Linked DNA regions of Pelodiscus sinensis. The protein of the gene in region 1 interacts with the protein of each later gene in a biochemical or structural test. Links are inferred from orthologs where the notes say so. Each region holds a gene or a part of one and is shown in the gene's direction. Other genes may lie near its edges.

What was found. The genes of interacting proteins can lie anywhere in the genome.
Region 2: of the proteins of MAPK1 (region 1) and MAP3K1, one has a biochemical effect on the other in vitro, tested with the Homo sapiens proteins (3 studies listed by BioGRID). The link is inferred for Pelodiscus sinensis from reciprocal best matches to the Homo sapiens genes MAPK1 and MAP3K1.

Annotation. Positions count from the first base shown.
Region 1 is NC_134725.1:17,137,138-17,144,995, forward strand, and holds the start of MAPK1 (mitogen-activated protein kinase 1), read left to right. Parts: upstream 1-4,821; 5' UTR 4,822-5,058; coding exon 5,059-5,201; intron 5,202-7,858. UniProt on the Homo sapiens protein: Serine/threonine kinase which acts as an essential component of the MAP kinase signal transduction pathway. MAPK1/ERK2 and MAPK3/ERK1 are the 2 MAPKs which play an important role in the MAPK/ERK cascade.
Region 2 is NC_134716.1:95,999,368-96,006,726, reverse strand, and holds the start of MAP3K1 (mitogen-activated protein kinase kinase kinase 1), read left to right. Parts: upstream 1-4,320; 5' UTR 4,321-4,748; coding exon 4,749-5,182; intron 5,183-5,371; exon of another isoform or gene 5,372-5,386; coding exon of another isoform or gene 5,387-5,394; intron 5,395-5,515; exon of another isoform or gene 5,516-5,854; coding exon of another isoform or gene 5,855-5,988; intron 5,989-7,359. UniProt on the Homo sapiens protein: Component of a protein kinase signal transduction cascade. Activates the ERK and JNK kinase pathways by phosphorylation of MAP2K1 and MAP2K4. May phosphorylate the MAPK8/JNK1 kinase.

The DNA of each region.
Region 1 (7,858 bases):
AGCTCTGGCATGGAAGGTGATCCACTAGATTGCTGCTAGGCTAGCAGAGTATGTACTGTACAATTGCAAAAGAGATATTATTTTCCAGATGTTGGCCACTATTCAAATAGAGAACTGAATGTTTTACTTTAAGATGAGGCATGGTATGATGGAATCCCAAGGATCCATAGCATTTGAGAGAGGGTATATTCGCTGAGACTAATAGTTGGTTTGGGAGAGCTGATACTGGCTGGTCAGAATGAAAGTTGGTTTTGGCAGTTGGTGACAGGAGAAGGGCTGGACTTGGTATATTCAATTGCTGGTAGGACTGGCAAGATGATTTAGGCAGTGGTGGGAGAGACATTGAGAATTATTAAATAAGTGCAGTGGCAGAAGCAGGAAATCCTCTGAGGGGGGAGAGACAAGGCAAAGCATTTCAGAAGCACTGTCTCAAAGATTATGTAACCAGCTGAACCTGTGGTAAAGTGGAGACTCGGACTCATCCACATGCTGGCAAGCTCTGGCTGAAGGGACATGGGGGTGGAGAGTGGGTTTGGGCATAAATGATTTGTTTTAGTGTATGTATTAAAGGATAAAATAAAATAGAGGAAATGTATCATGATTAGTGGAACCAAGTCATACAGGTCATGCTCCTTAGAGGGGCTCTTAATAATAGGACACCAGGGAACATGGTAAATCAATAGGGTTGAGCTGGAAGCAACTCAGATTCAGGAATAGAACAGCACACAAGGTTTAATAAAATTCCATGTGTTCAGCTTATGCTGAATACAGCTTCACTCTTTGCAAATGAAACACAGTGGCAGCACTGGAGCTGCTGTGAGGTCTCTGAAGAGCTGCAGTTGGCAGCATAAACCATGGAACTCAATCTGAAATTCCCCAGAAACCTAGATTTTGCAGATTCACAGGTAGCCCAGTGATAAGACAGTTGTGGGCAGAGATAACCATGCAGGAGAATGACAACAGCAGGCAACTAAAACTATTATCATGCCTTTTACTAGGAAATAATGCAGACAGGTATGTATGCACCACTCTGAAGCACACCACTGCCTCAAATATCACAGCAGTCTGAGGAGCTCTGGAGAGTTATTGCTCCCTAAAGCAGAGTGAAACAGTAGGGCTGGACCAGACCCCTCTACCACTGCCTTATGCCCATTAGGAATGTAAGTGAGTAGTCAACTACTCAACTATTCACCTTCCCTTCGCCTTGCTGCCTCTGTATCAGGCCAGTTAAAAGCCGGATCCTCCCAGCACCGTCTCTGCCCCCCTTCCCATGCTTCTTCCTCTATCTGGTGGCAGCCCCTGTTTTTGTGGGTCCCAGTTCCCTGCCAGTACCCCCATGGACAGGGATGCTGGACATGGCATGATCCAGGACTGAGCAAGCCCAGCTCAGTCCTGGCTTGAACTGGGTCCGGCACCTACCTTCATTTTAAATGTAGCAAGAGCCAGGCCAGCTGCAGCAGTCCCGGACTCAGTGCTGGCTTGCGCTGGGTCCAGAACCTACCCTCACTGTGGCTCTGCATTTTAAATGTAGTAAGAGCCAGGCGGGCTCTTACTACATTTAAGATTCAGAGCCTCAGCACGGGTAGCTTCTACATCCAGTGGGCTTATCAGGTAGTTGAGTCCAACTACTCGCTCCTTTTCCTTGCTGCCTCTTTATCAGAAGCAGCAAGGAGGGGAGAAGCAGGAGCTGATGCTGGATACAGCCAGCTTAAAAGCTGGTTCTTCCCAGCACCATCTCCACAGTACAGGGGGAGGGGGAGGGGCAGGGGAAGCAGAGGCATAGTGGTCAGGGACCAGCGTGAACTAGGACTGCTGAGTCCTGGCTTGTGTGGGTCCTAAACCTACACTGCTGTGGCTATGCCTTTTAAACATAGTAAGAGCTGCCTAGCTCTTACCACATTTATAAGGCAGAGGCACAGCAATCATGGACCCCTGCAGCAGTCAGGGACTCAGCAGCCCTGGTGGCAGGCTGCAGTAGGTCTGGGACCTGTCACAAGCTGGGACTCAGCAGACTCAGCTCGTGCCAAGTCCCTGACCTCCAGGCTCTTACTACAGGCAGTCCCCGGGTTACGTACAAGATAGGGACTGTAGGTTTGTTCTTAAGTTGAATCTGTATGTAAGTCGGAACTGGTGTCCAGATTCAGCCGCTGCTGAAACTGACCAGCAGCTGACTACAGGAAGCCCGAGGCAGAGTTGCTCTGCCCCGGGCTTCCTGGAATCAGCCTCTGATCAGTTTCAACAGGCTGAATCTGGACACCAGTTCCGACTTACATACAGATTCAACTTAAGAACTCCAGGCGTCCCCAAGTCAGCTGCTGCTGAAACTGATCAGCGGCTGATTCCAGGAAGCCCAGGGCAGAGCAACTCGGCCTCGGGCTTCCTGTAGTCAGCGCTGGTCAGTTTCAGCAGCGGCTGACTCGGGGACGCCTGGGGCAGAGCAGCTGGGGTGCTGCTGGGTTGCTCCAGTAGCGCCGCTCCTCGGCGTTACTGGACCAACCCAGCAGCACCCCAGCTGCTCTGCCCCAGGCGTCCTGATTCAGCTGCTGCTGAAACTGACCAGCAGCGGCTGAATCAGGACGCCTGGGGCAGAGCAGCTGGGGTGCTGCTGGGTTGGTCCAGTAGCGCCCAGAGCGGCGCTGCGGGACCAACCGGCAGCACCCCAGCTGCTCTACCACAGGCGTACGGAGAAAAGCCTGCTCTGCTGGGGGGAGGCATACTAGCTGCACCCCCCCCCCCCCAGCAGACCAGGGAGATGGGGAGCAAAGCCGGGGAGCACGCGGGCAGCAGACAGCCCAGATGTGCCGTGGCTGTCCCGCTGCCGGCGTCCTCAGAGGCTTTGCTCCCCGTCTCAGGAGACCAGGGAAACGGGCAGCAAACCCCGTTCGTAACTGCGGATCGGATCCGCGTAACTCGGGGACTGCCTGTACATTTAAAAAGCAGAGCTGTAGTGGGGAAGGTCCAGGACCCAGCACAAGCTGGGACTCAGCAGTTTCTACCACATTTAAACTGCAGAGCCACAGCAGGGGGCAGCTCCTGGACCCAGAGACAGGAGAGAATACCTCCCATTATCAACTAATCATGTAGGTGACACAAATTGTATTGACTACACAGTTAGCCAATTACCTACTTCTTAACATCCTTATAGAAAACTATAAACTTTTCTATAGCAATACAGGGACAAGACGATAGAATTAAACCAAAATAAAATGTAATTTAAATAACATGAGATGACATACTTTGTACATCAGCTCACAGCAGGGGGACTGAGAGCTGATCACAACATGCTTAAAGCAGCTACATGACAGTTCCAGTTGTTGTGAGAGAGGTGTAGCACTTCTTAAGCATGATAAATGTCCATCCAAGTTTTGTCCACATCTGGCTGCACTAGCAGAATCTATAAATCATCTCACAAGGCACGATATTGAGTGGGACTACATGGGATCCCAAGAGCAAGCATTTGATTTAAGTACTACCACCGTGGTGAGCTACTGACACTCCAATGTGATGCATCAGAGAGGACTGGGTGTAGCTCTTTTGCAGAAGCAATCAGTCACATATGCTAATAGAGTGCTGTCAGAGGCAATACAGGGGTATGTTTAAACAGAAAAAGAGCTTCTGGCTGTGGTATTTGGAGTGGAACAATTGCATCTGTACTCCTAATAGTGCAATGAGGACACAAACCCCTAGACACAATTATGACAAAGCCCCTTTTTAAAAAGTGCTCCAAAGAAATGGCAACGCATGCTGATATGCCTTTAATAACACTAGAAAGCAAAGATCAGATATTGTTTGAATGATGACTGGCATTAGTTGATACCATTAGCTGGGCCCATATATCCAGCATCAGTGGAAAGGGAATCAGGACACTGAATTTATGAACATATTGTGATATCTTCAATTTCAAAAGTGAAGTAGATGGAGACCCAGAGGCTAAGAAAAAGAACACCCACCTACAAGCAATCAAGAGAGCAATACTAGCAGGATGGCCAGAAAACAAGACAAGCAGCACTAGTTTCAGAACCCTATTTTCAAGTTAAAGATGAGCTGAGTATGCAGTATGGAATCCTATTTCAAGGGTAGAGAGCTACTGTTCCCACTGCATTATGTAAGGATGTGGCACACAAGACATACCACTCCCTAGGCTCCAATGTTTGCTCGAATCTGTTCAATGCAGGTGCAGATTTTTCCCATCCGTGTGCAAAATACAATTTTATGCGCACCCAGGCATGTGCAAATGTGCACCACCAACAGGCACTCTGCTGGGCAGCCACACAGGCAGGGCTTACGGAGAGCACTGCTGGGCACTGACCACTGGCTCAAGCGTGTTTAATGTCCACTAGCGGATTAATACTCACGCAGCTCGGCTCCCTGAGACAAGGGCAGGACGCCCAGCAGTCATGCAGTAACCCCTCCTCCCGCCAAGAAAGCCAGTTACCACACGAGTCCCCCTCCCCCCATGGGCCAAGGGCGGGGCAGAGCAGTACCTGAGTACAGTGGATTCCTACTCAGCTTATGGGGCGGGGCCTAGCCCCTGACTGACACGAGAGCCATGTCAGGGATTGACCAACGGCCGGCCCCAACGCCAGGGGCGGCATCCCGGGCTGCCTCAGCAGAACACAACCCCAAGGCGCGGGGACGCCCCCGTCTGGCGACGCAGCCCAAGGGCCCTGACAAGCGCAGGCCTCAGCCCATTGGCAGGCGGGCATCCGTCACCTGACGCTGAATGGCTCCCTGCAGCAGCGCAGCTGGCACACCGACCACGTGCCCTTCTTGGCTCCGCCCCCCTCTTTTCTGCGGCGGTTCTGAAGTTACCGCAGTCCCCGCTTGCCCCGCCCCTCCCATGCTTATAACGCCTGGTTCCCTCACCACTCCTCCTCCTGCCGTGTGCGCGCGAGCGAGACCACCCTCCGTTCCGGGCGCGCGCCCCTCAGCCTCCTCACAGCGGCGGCGAGCGGGCCTTGGGCCGGACGGCTGCGGGTTCCTGGGAGCGCAGCCGCCGCGCGGGCACCCGAGGCGACCGCGTTCCCCTCTTCCCTAGCGGTTCCCAGCACCGAGAACATGGCGGCGGTATCGGGTGCCGGGGCTGCGGGCGGCTCGGCCAACCCCGGGACTCCGGAGATGGTGCGGGGCCAGGCGTTCGATGTGGGGCCCCGCTACACCAACCTCTCCTACATCGGGGAGGGCGCCTACGGCATGGTCTGGTGAGTACCGGCCGGGGGGCAGAGCCCTGCCTGGCCCACAGCCTCTCCCGGGCTGGGCAACAGCCCGCGGCCCCAGCCTCCTTGCTCTCCTGCGGGCAGGGGACCGGGACTAAAGTGTCTCTTCCTTTCCCAGTCTCCTGTAGCTGCGTCTTACCTCCGCTTGCTGCCAAATCTCCTGCCCTCTTCTCTGCCTCCTCGCTCCAGGGGCTGCCCCTTCCTCTTCCAGTCCTGGCTCGAGTTCTGCTTAACTATTCTTGTCCGTTTACACTGTCTCTTGGATTGGTTTTGTCTTTTTTTTTTTAATTCTTGGCAGTATGATATATATTATAATGGAGAAGGAAGCCAAAATAATGGCCATGACTGACGGAGTACAAAGCTCACCTTATGTGCCAGGACCACACTGGGTAAAACTAAAAAGAGACTTTATTATTCTTATTACCTCCATTATCTATCTTGTTTGGTTGTGATTTGGCATCTTTCCCCCCAGTAAGGACAAGAAACCTCATATATTGGTGAAAATACTTTTCAAGGTTGAAACGCTTGTGTATCAGTTTCAGAGGTGTAGCTGTGTTAGTCTGTAACTAAATAAACTTAAAACAGTTTTGCAGCACCTTAAAGACTAACAGAAATTTAGAGGTATCATGAGCTTTCGTGGGCATCAGCTTGTGCCCATGAAAGCTCATGATACCATGTACATTTTTGTTAGTCTCTAAGGTGCTGCAAGATTATTTGTATTTATGTTGTATCCCAGAGACATTTCAGTGAAACACCGCCATTTATGCAGAGTGAATGTGTGTGTGCAACTATTTTGACATAACTGTTTGAATCAGGCTATCAGAATGATGGAGAAATGCACATATGTATTTGAGCAAGTTAAGATGTTTATTACCAGCTAATAGTATGCTGAGATTGAGTTGAGCTGGTGTATATGTTGTACGTGGGTAGAAGGATGCGCGAATGTCACTGACATGCTCTCGTGTTTTTCCTTAAATTATTTATCCCATTTGTCTGTCTTTCTGTGAAATGGATTAAAGAATTAATTTCCTAAATTCATCTGCACTCTTGAGAGCAAACAAATAACTTTTCTCCAAAACCTTTGCTGTTTTCCCTTCAAAATGCACAGTGTCTTTCTATAATGTATGCTTTTAAAAACTATGTATGCTTTTTCAAATAGGTTTGATTTGTTACTTGTTTCTTTACAGCATAAACTTTCATTCAGAGGTTGTATTATGATGACTTCTTGATGACTGAATGAGAGGCTTGTATTCCGGAATGTAAACTGTCATTTAGGCCTGGATTCACCAAGGAACTAAATGTGTGTTTACATGCTTTTACTTGATGATGATGTTAGCCCTTTTAGTTATTGTGATAACTTTCAGTATGTTTTGATGACCTGTTTATATTTGTCTGTATAGTTTACACCAGTGAAGCTGCAGTGAATATAACATGTATTAAGTGTACAGATTTGAATGTAAGACCTGTTAGTGCAGTTTACTTTAGAAACCAAGATAAGCCTCACCAGTGCAAGTTTGTTTTATACCTGTTCAACACATCTACATGGAGAGGTTAGCACCTGTATACTGTACAGTAGAAATACCCTTGCTGTAGATAGATTCTAATTGTGCATTTCTCTGAAGCTAGAGAGCCTCAAATCGTACTTCTCTGAAGTATAATCTGCTCCACTTACCTCAGTGGAATGCTAACAATGATATTGGTTTGGACTCCAGCAGGGAGAGGAGGAAGCAGCTCTGTGTGCTGCCATTCTCCCCTCCCTCACATCTAAGGAAACAGCAACATAGCAAAGTGCTGGTCTGGAGGTGAGGCAGCAGAGATTGGTATTAAGGATGCAAACATGTACATGGTTATCAATGACCTTGGACTAATCTGTTGTGCATGGTTACACGCAGTTCTCCCACCATCTGAGGCAACAGCAAGGGGGTGAGATGGGAGCAAGGGGTGGGGTCAGATGGCTCTGCTCCTATGTGTAAGCCCTGAATTTCAACAATTACATGTTTATGTAAACCCACTTTAACATCCCCAGTTAGTATTTTGGGGCATGGAGCCGCATATGCTCCCATAGCAGGGTGCCAGAAATACCCCACTCCCATCAACCTCATGTCCAGACCCTGCATCCCTATTCCCTTCATGCATGCTCCCTTCTTCCCAGAATCCACTGCAGCACCCTCTGTGGTTTGAAAACTTTACCCTATTTCCCAGGGTTGCTGGATTAAAGAGGCTTAAATGGAATTCACTACTGAGCAAAGGCTGCAATAAATGTTATGAAGGATACATAGTTTGTTGTCAATAACATCCTATTTTGGCTTCACAGGTGAATGGAGCATGGTTTGTGGGCAGGATGAGAACATATCATCTCCCCCCCCCCCCCCCCACACACACCTGATCTCTTGTGGCTTGAGATAAAACATTACGTTTTCAATTTTTTCTCAAAGTCTGTGTTAGCCTCTTATCTTAAACTAAACACATGAATATATTTTATATAAATTAATGACAGGAGTTTTTGGTCTAAGGTAAGTTTCATGTCCTTTCACATCAAAGGTTATATTGAACAGCAATCACTAAGGAATTAAAACCTAATATAGTGAATCCTTAAACTTAACTCCATTAGAGGACTACAGCAGCTCAAGAAACCTTGGAGC
Region 2 (7,359 bases), on another chromosome or scaffold:
CAATATAGGATTATTTCCAACAGATACAGTTCTTACCATCTTTTTGAACTGAGAAATTATTTGTCTGTCAGCCAGTGATGGCACGTCTACACAGCAGGACTGAAGCTGAAATAAGCTATGCAACGTGAGCTACGTCAATTGCGTAGCTTAAATCAAAATAGCTTATTTTGGCTTTTGGTGCTGTCTACACAGAAAGAAGTCTAAGACAGAGCACTCTTCCTCCAACTTCCCTTACTCCTCATAAAATGAGGGTTACAGGAGTCGGAATAAGAAGTCCTCCAGCTCAAAGTTATTTTGACATTATGTCGAAATAACTGCTTGCTCCGTAGACACGGACTCTGTTATTTCAGAATAATGTCAGTGTCATGGGGTGTGCATGCCTCACACTGGAGCAGAGGGAGTGAAAACCCTGTGGGCGGAAGAAGCCTCACCCCTTCAACCAGACTGGGCATACTCCAAGTGCTGGGGCAGCATAAAAAGCAAGAGAGCATCTCAGTCTGGGCTGGACAGCAAAGGAGAAGAACCTCCGGTCAGAGCTCCCAAGTTGCAGAAGCCAGCGAGAACCAGAGTCCCGGGAGATGGCTGCTACGCACCCCCCTCGGAATCCCAGGGAGAAACTGCTACCGGGGAACTGGGAGACTCAGCCGCTACATGGGAGGTTGACCTGCCAGAATCAGTAAGAAGTGACCCAGAAAGGATAAAGGAGCAGCCTTTCACAACCAGGTATACTTGGCGTGTTTCGGCTGGATTCCCCACTGAGGGAGTGGTAGACCATTCTGCTGCTCACAGGAGCCTGGGTTGGGACCCCATGGAGCAGTGTAGGCCTGGGACCCCCTACCGGGATGCTTGCTTCAACCCTACTGACTATGGCCATTAAGTCCTACTGCTCTGTAGCAAGTACTACTTACTGACTCTGTGCTGCCCTGAGACAAGGGCTATTTACTGACTCTGGCCATTGGACCATACTACCCTGCGACAAAGGCTACTTACTGACTCTGGCCACTAGGCCACACTACTCCAGAGAGAAGGCTGACGACAGACTCTGACTGGTAGACTGTACTGCCCTGAGAGAAGGACAGCACTATTGACCTTGGACACTAAGCTCAACTTTCATAGACCACAAGGGGGTATTTATGGACTACAGAGACAGCTAATGACCCTGTGGGCAATCAGGAGGTGTCCACACCCCTGAATATCTTCACTCCTATGATGGGATGTGCATATGTCACCATAGTCTGTTATTCCAAAATAATGCTGCTGTGTAGACATAGCCTAAGAGCTTTAAGTAAGAAAGGGAGGAGGGGGAGTTTTTAAAAGAAAGGAGAAGTGTTAGAAGAGCAATGGTAAAGCAGAGTCAAGAGGGCACTATCAGTCTCCAGGTGAGTTACCACTCAATTGTCTGAGTTTTCTATCATGTGGCGGTGCAAACACAAAAGAGAGATGGCTATGGAACATGTTCACTTTCCCTTCAGCTATAGCCCATCTAAGCACTTGTAGACTGAATGTGAATGAGCTGTCTATGAGCATATTTTCACAACCAAACCTACCATGTCAGAGGATCCAGTTATCATGAGGTGTTACACTTTGCTTGTATAGGCATGACCAAAAGCTGTTATGTTATATAATTCATTTTCTCTCTCATCTTTACTTTGTGCAGACAGTATTGCCTACTTTATGTATTCAGAAGCATAGAAGATTCTTAACTGCATGTTGTTTCTATGTGTAACTGTGTTTGAGATTAACTGTGTTGAAAACTATGCTGAATTCATATTATTTTAGGTATTGAGAAAAAGATGAGCCTTCAGCTTGCCAAAATTTACCATATTCCCATATAGAACTTTATCTGTGTATAACAGCCACACTCTTTCAATTGTTGCAAGACAACAACTTGAGGATCTAGGCCAAAGACTTCAGTTTCATAATCAGTCTTGGATGTTACCACTTACAATTTAGGGGAAATGTGCACATAGAAAACGATTAACTTCATATTAGTCTATAGTACCGCAGATTTTAAATTAAATTAACTCATTGGAGCGCAATAGTTTGAGAGTTCCTTGATTGCAGTGCTTTTCTTCAACACAAACAGGTTTTCTGCAGAATGAATACCTGCAGGATATGACGCAATGGCAATCTTATTTCTTCAATATATTTCATGCTTTGTACATTCATGCTTAATGATACTCATTAAATGCAAAATAATTTAAACCTAAACAAGTAGACAAATATTGATGTTCCCCTGGTACAGAATATATTTCTAATTTTGAGAAGTCCATTAGTTTCAGTGTTTCCTTTCAAAGTACAAAAACTCATTCATCTAATCTAATACCTTCAATACTTACTTCATTTTCAGTTTCTTTTAATTGATTTCCTATATATGCTTAGCTATTAGAACGACTTGCTTTTAACTATCTCTTGTTGCTTAATAAGTTTAAATTGATGGTTTAAAATTCTTCTCTAAGTTTGTATGTTCTGTGACTATTTTGTCTGTTCCATGTGTCTAAATCTTCTCTCTGTCCCTGTTTTAACTATCAAGTATGGTCTTGGTAGCGGGATTACTATAAGGTGGTTGCATAACTGTCTGGAACCCCATTGTCAGAGTTTAGTTATTAATGATTTTAAGTCATGCAGGAAGGGCACAAGTGGGGTTCCACAGGGATCTGTTCTGAGACCAGTTCTGCTCAATATCTTCATCAACAATTTAGATGGTGGCATAGAGAGTATGCTTATTAAGTTTGCAGATGATACCAAGTTGAGAGGGGTTGCTTTGGAGGATAGGGTCATAATTCAAAATGATCTGGATAAATTGGAGAAATGGTTGGAGGTAAATAGGATGAAGTTTAATAAGGACAAATGCAAAGTACTCTACTCAGGAACGAACAATCAGTTTCACACATACAGAATGGGAAGTGACTGTCTGAAGGAGTACGGCAGAAAGGCATCTAGGGGTCATAGTGGACCACAAGCTAAATATGAGTCCACAATGTGATACTGTTGCAAAAAAAGCAAACATGATTCTAGGATGCATTAACAGGAGTGTTGTGAACAAGACACGAGAAGTCATTCTTCTGCTCTACTCTGCATTGATTAGGCCTCAGTTGGAGTATTGTGTCCAGTTCTGGTCACCACATTTCAAGAAAGATGTGGAGAAATTGGAGGTCCAGAGAAGAGCAACAAAAATGATTAACAGTCTAGAGAACATGAGCTATGACGGAAAGTTGAAAGAATTGGGCTTCTTTAGTTTGGAAAAGAGAAGCCGGACAGGGGACATGATATTTTCATGTATCTAAAAGGGCGTCATGGGAGAGGGGGAATCATTCTGTTTTGCTTCTGAGGATAGAACTAGAAGCAATGGTCTTAAACAGCAGCAAGTGAGGTTTAGGTTGGACATTAGGAAAAATTTCCTGTTAGGGTGGTTAAATACTGGAATAAATTGCATAGGGAAGTTGTGGAATCTCCCATCCCTGAAGATTTTTAAGAGCAGGTGAGACAGACATCTCTCAGGGGTGATCTAGATGGTACATGGTCCTGCCAGAAGGGCAGGGGACTGGACTTGATGATCTCTTGAGGTCCCTTCCAGTTCTAGTTTGGCTAAAATCAAGTGTAGTATCCTCAACCTGTCCTTTTGGACACACTACCCTGGTGCGCTATGACTGAATTATTTTTGGAGTAGGGAGCTGGATTTGCCCAGCCCTATGCATCAATCTGGTATTACAGTACCTCCAGGACTGGTGCACTACCATTCACTTGCTATACTACTACACAGTAATGTGTTCTCTCAAAACATTTGCTTGCTATTTTCATTCTATGATTCTAAAACAACAAGGAGTCTAGGGGCACTTCAAAGACTACCATGCTACCATGTTTTTAGGGTATTAGAACATAAGCTGTCATGAGCTTGAACTCACTTCCTCAGATGCTGAAAAGAAAAAATAACAACACAAGGGGAGGGAAGAAGGTACAGAGCTGGGAGTGCTAATTAAATCAGAATGGATAGGGCTAATCTCCAAGTGTGGTGAGGAGGTGCGTGTACTTGAATGGGAAACTATCTATTGTAATGCGAGTACAACTCTGGTGGAGGGGAGTTACCTCCAAACGAGGAGCTTGTATTCCCCACATTCTTAATACAACCCTCTCCCCTTTTCTCCGGCTATGGGATACGTTTTGCCGAGTGGAGGGAGATCTTCTCAGTACAGTGCAGGCGCGGGGGTGAAAATGTTTGCTTCTCAGCTGGAGTCCCATCGCCCCCGGCATCTGCGCCAGGCAAGGTAGGTGAGGCTCTCACTGGCCTCGCTACCGCCGCGGAGAGAGAAGCTCCCCAACTGCACGGAGCTTTCCGCGCTCTGGGGGAGCCGGGCAAGGACACACCGGTCAGAGTCTCGGGATAAGCCCCCCAGTCCGGCGGGCAGGAACCGGCCCCTTGATCTCCGAGGAGTGAAGGAGGCGGGGTCGCCTGCCGGGTCCTGCACCATCCAGCCCCCCCGCCAGGTGCTGGCTCCTCCGGCCCAGCCCCTTTCCCCAGGCAGGAGCCAGCCCGCCCAGCGTAGGTACGGCCAGGTCCTGCCACCACCTGCCCGCGGGCGGCGTCGAGCGACCGCTCCCAGCCTCACCTTCTCAACGCCCGTCCCGCCTGCGCTCAGTTCCCACCCCTCGTACGCCTTTGGCGCAGCCCACGCCGCTGCCGCAGCGGCCGGAGCGCGGCTCATCCCCCGCCTCCCTGCTCCGGAGCCCGATGTGACCCGCCAGAGAAAATGGCGGCGGCGGCGGGGACTCGCACCTCGTCGTCGGGATTATCCTCGGGCACCAGCGCGGACGCCGCCGCCGCCGCCTCCGGGAGCCTGCAGAGCGGCAGCGGCGCGGGCAGCTTGCCCGGCAGCGGCGGGGGGCTCCTGCGGGAGGCGGGCGGCGGCGGCTGCCGGGAGCAGCGCTCAGACTGGAGACGGAAGCAGCTGCGCAAAGTGCGGAGCGTGGAGCTGGACCGGCTGCCCGAGGCGCCCCTCTTCCTCGCCGGCTCGCCGGAGTCCCCCGAACCGCCGCCGCGCTGCCTCGCCGGGGGCTCCGGCCCCTCCAGCCCCGCGTCTTCCCCCGGCCGCTGCGCCGCGCCCCACGAGCCGCTGCCGGACGGGAGCCCCGTGGGAGCCGACCCCGCCGCCGAGAGAAGGATGGAGCCGTCTCCCCCTGCCGGGTGAGCGGCGCGGGGCTGGAGCGGGCGGCGGTGAGGACCCCGGCGCCTCACACGGGGCAGCCCGCGCAGGTGTTGGAGGTGGGGGGCCCGGCGCTGCTGGCGGCGTGGGATAGTGCGCGCCCGGAGCCTGGCCCCTGCCCCTCCTCGAGCTTTCGGGTCCCCCTCTCGGTGGAGACCCAGCCCCGGGAGCCTGGCGCTGCGCCCATGGGCAGGTAGCGGGGACGTGCTTTTCGGGCCCGGATTTGCTTGCAGGGGCGCTGGGATATGCGTGGGGGACGGTGTTATGGGGCAGAGGGGGTGGCTGGTGTGAGATCGCCCCCGACAGGCCCCCCGTGTTTGTGGGGAGCTGTCATCTGTAAGAGAAGGGGGGGGAGTAGGGGACTGGCCAGTAGCTTGTTGTGTTCAGTGCCTCGTTGACTTATGCGGCAGGCGCTGCAGGATAAAAGAGCTAGGATTGTATTTCCCAGGACTGTGTAGCCTGTGCATCAACTTCTCATTTGTGTTACCTTTGCCCTGCCAACCCGTTTGTGTGTGCTGCTTTCTGGAAGTCGTGACTCTTAGTTAAATGGGAATCGCAGCTGTTGGGGGGTGAGGGGAGTGATTTATTTCTGCCTGAGCTCCGAGAGGCTTTGAAGTTTGAATTTGCCCTGGTGGTTGAGGACCCAGGACCGGATGTGTCAGCCATTCAGTTTCAGTGCAGTTAAACCCGTTAACTCTTCCAAGCAGTGCAGCAGAGTGCATTTGATTTTTTTTTTCCTGCTAAAGCATCCTTCCCCCCGGATTCACCTCACCTCCCCACAAAAAAAGTGTGTCTGCTTTTCATAATCTATATAGTACTTATTCTAAACTACTTAGATTTTACATTTGCCTTTGCTTTCCCATCGGTATAGTTAAACATTAATAAAAATGAATCCTTTCTTCTGTGGCTTGTTTCACTTGAAGTTGTGGAACTGTTTTGGTTTTGCTGAATAAAAGACAGTTTACAAACATGAAATATCTACTCTGCAAAAGTGTAGAAAGTATAATGTGTTTGCAGTAATTATACTGGAGACTGCATATTGTGTAAGATGAGACGTGGTATCTTTATAGTGTTAGTCCTATTCTGTATTTTATTTGATAATACTTGAGATTTTATAGAGCTTTCCAATTTTATAGTTATTGTGATGCAATCCGGGGCACAAGTTCAATAACTAGGATACATTCAATATGTATCTTACACACGCAAAGGCATTCAGAATTGAAGCTACCATGAGCATATTTTAAAATGCTTTCTCATGTACTTCTGAATACGTTGTACTTAATACTTTTAACGTACACTTGCTAGCATTTAGTATGTGCATAGGTGAGAGTAATGGTGGAGATAGAGCTTGTAATCTTTATATAGATTTAACAATTACTGTAGTTTCATAAGGATTTTTATATGAGACTTCATGTGTAAATAGTGAATTGCAGCGCTTGGCGGTGAAGACTGAGTGTTGATAGGTTTACTTCTAAAGTTATTTTACAGAGAAAAAGAGCTTTTAGTTGGCTACTCAACTCACAACAAAGAAATCTGTCTTTCCCATTTGTGGTAGAAGGACATTCAAAAAAAGATTTCCATTCTAGAGAATGCTTTACTAATATGGCAATCTAAAATCAGCAATTGTTTGGGTATCTAGATGTATTCTGTGCAATATTTGTGGACTTTCACATTGCTGTAAATATAAACCAGTTACTTGACAGTAGTATGATACCAGCAGATGAAGCACCAGTGTAGTTATAGAAAGATTAATAGGAAATCTATGTTCATGAAGTTACTTCAAGGAAAAGATGATGTACAAAAGTTGGCAGTTGACTTGTTTTTATTTGATTTTGTATGATTATCTCTAGAGTTTTGACAAGGTATGAAACTAAAATATACTTTACTTCATTGTTACCTCATATATAGGTGTTACCATTGTAGCAATTAAATAATTCTGTACCACATAAGAGAAAAATAACTAGCATAAACAACATCAAAACATGCCTTTAAAACAGTAAAAGTTGCTTACAGTTTTCAGTGGGACTTATTGCTAGTTGTTATGGGTTCAGGAAGGTCAACATTTGTCACATCAGGCAATCACAGCTAAAATATTGACTCCATTCTTGCTTGCCAATTCCATGGATTTAAAAAAAATTCCTTAAGTTAGTTCCTGTTT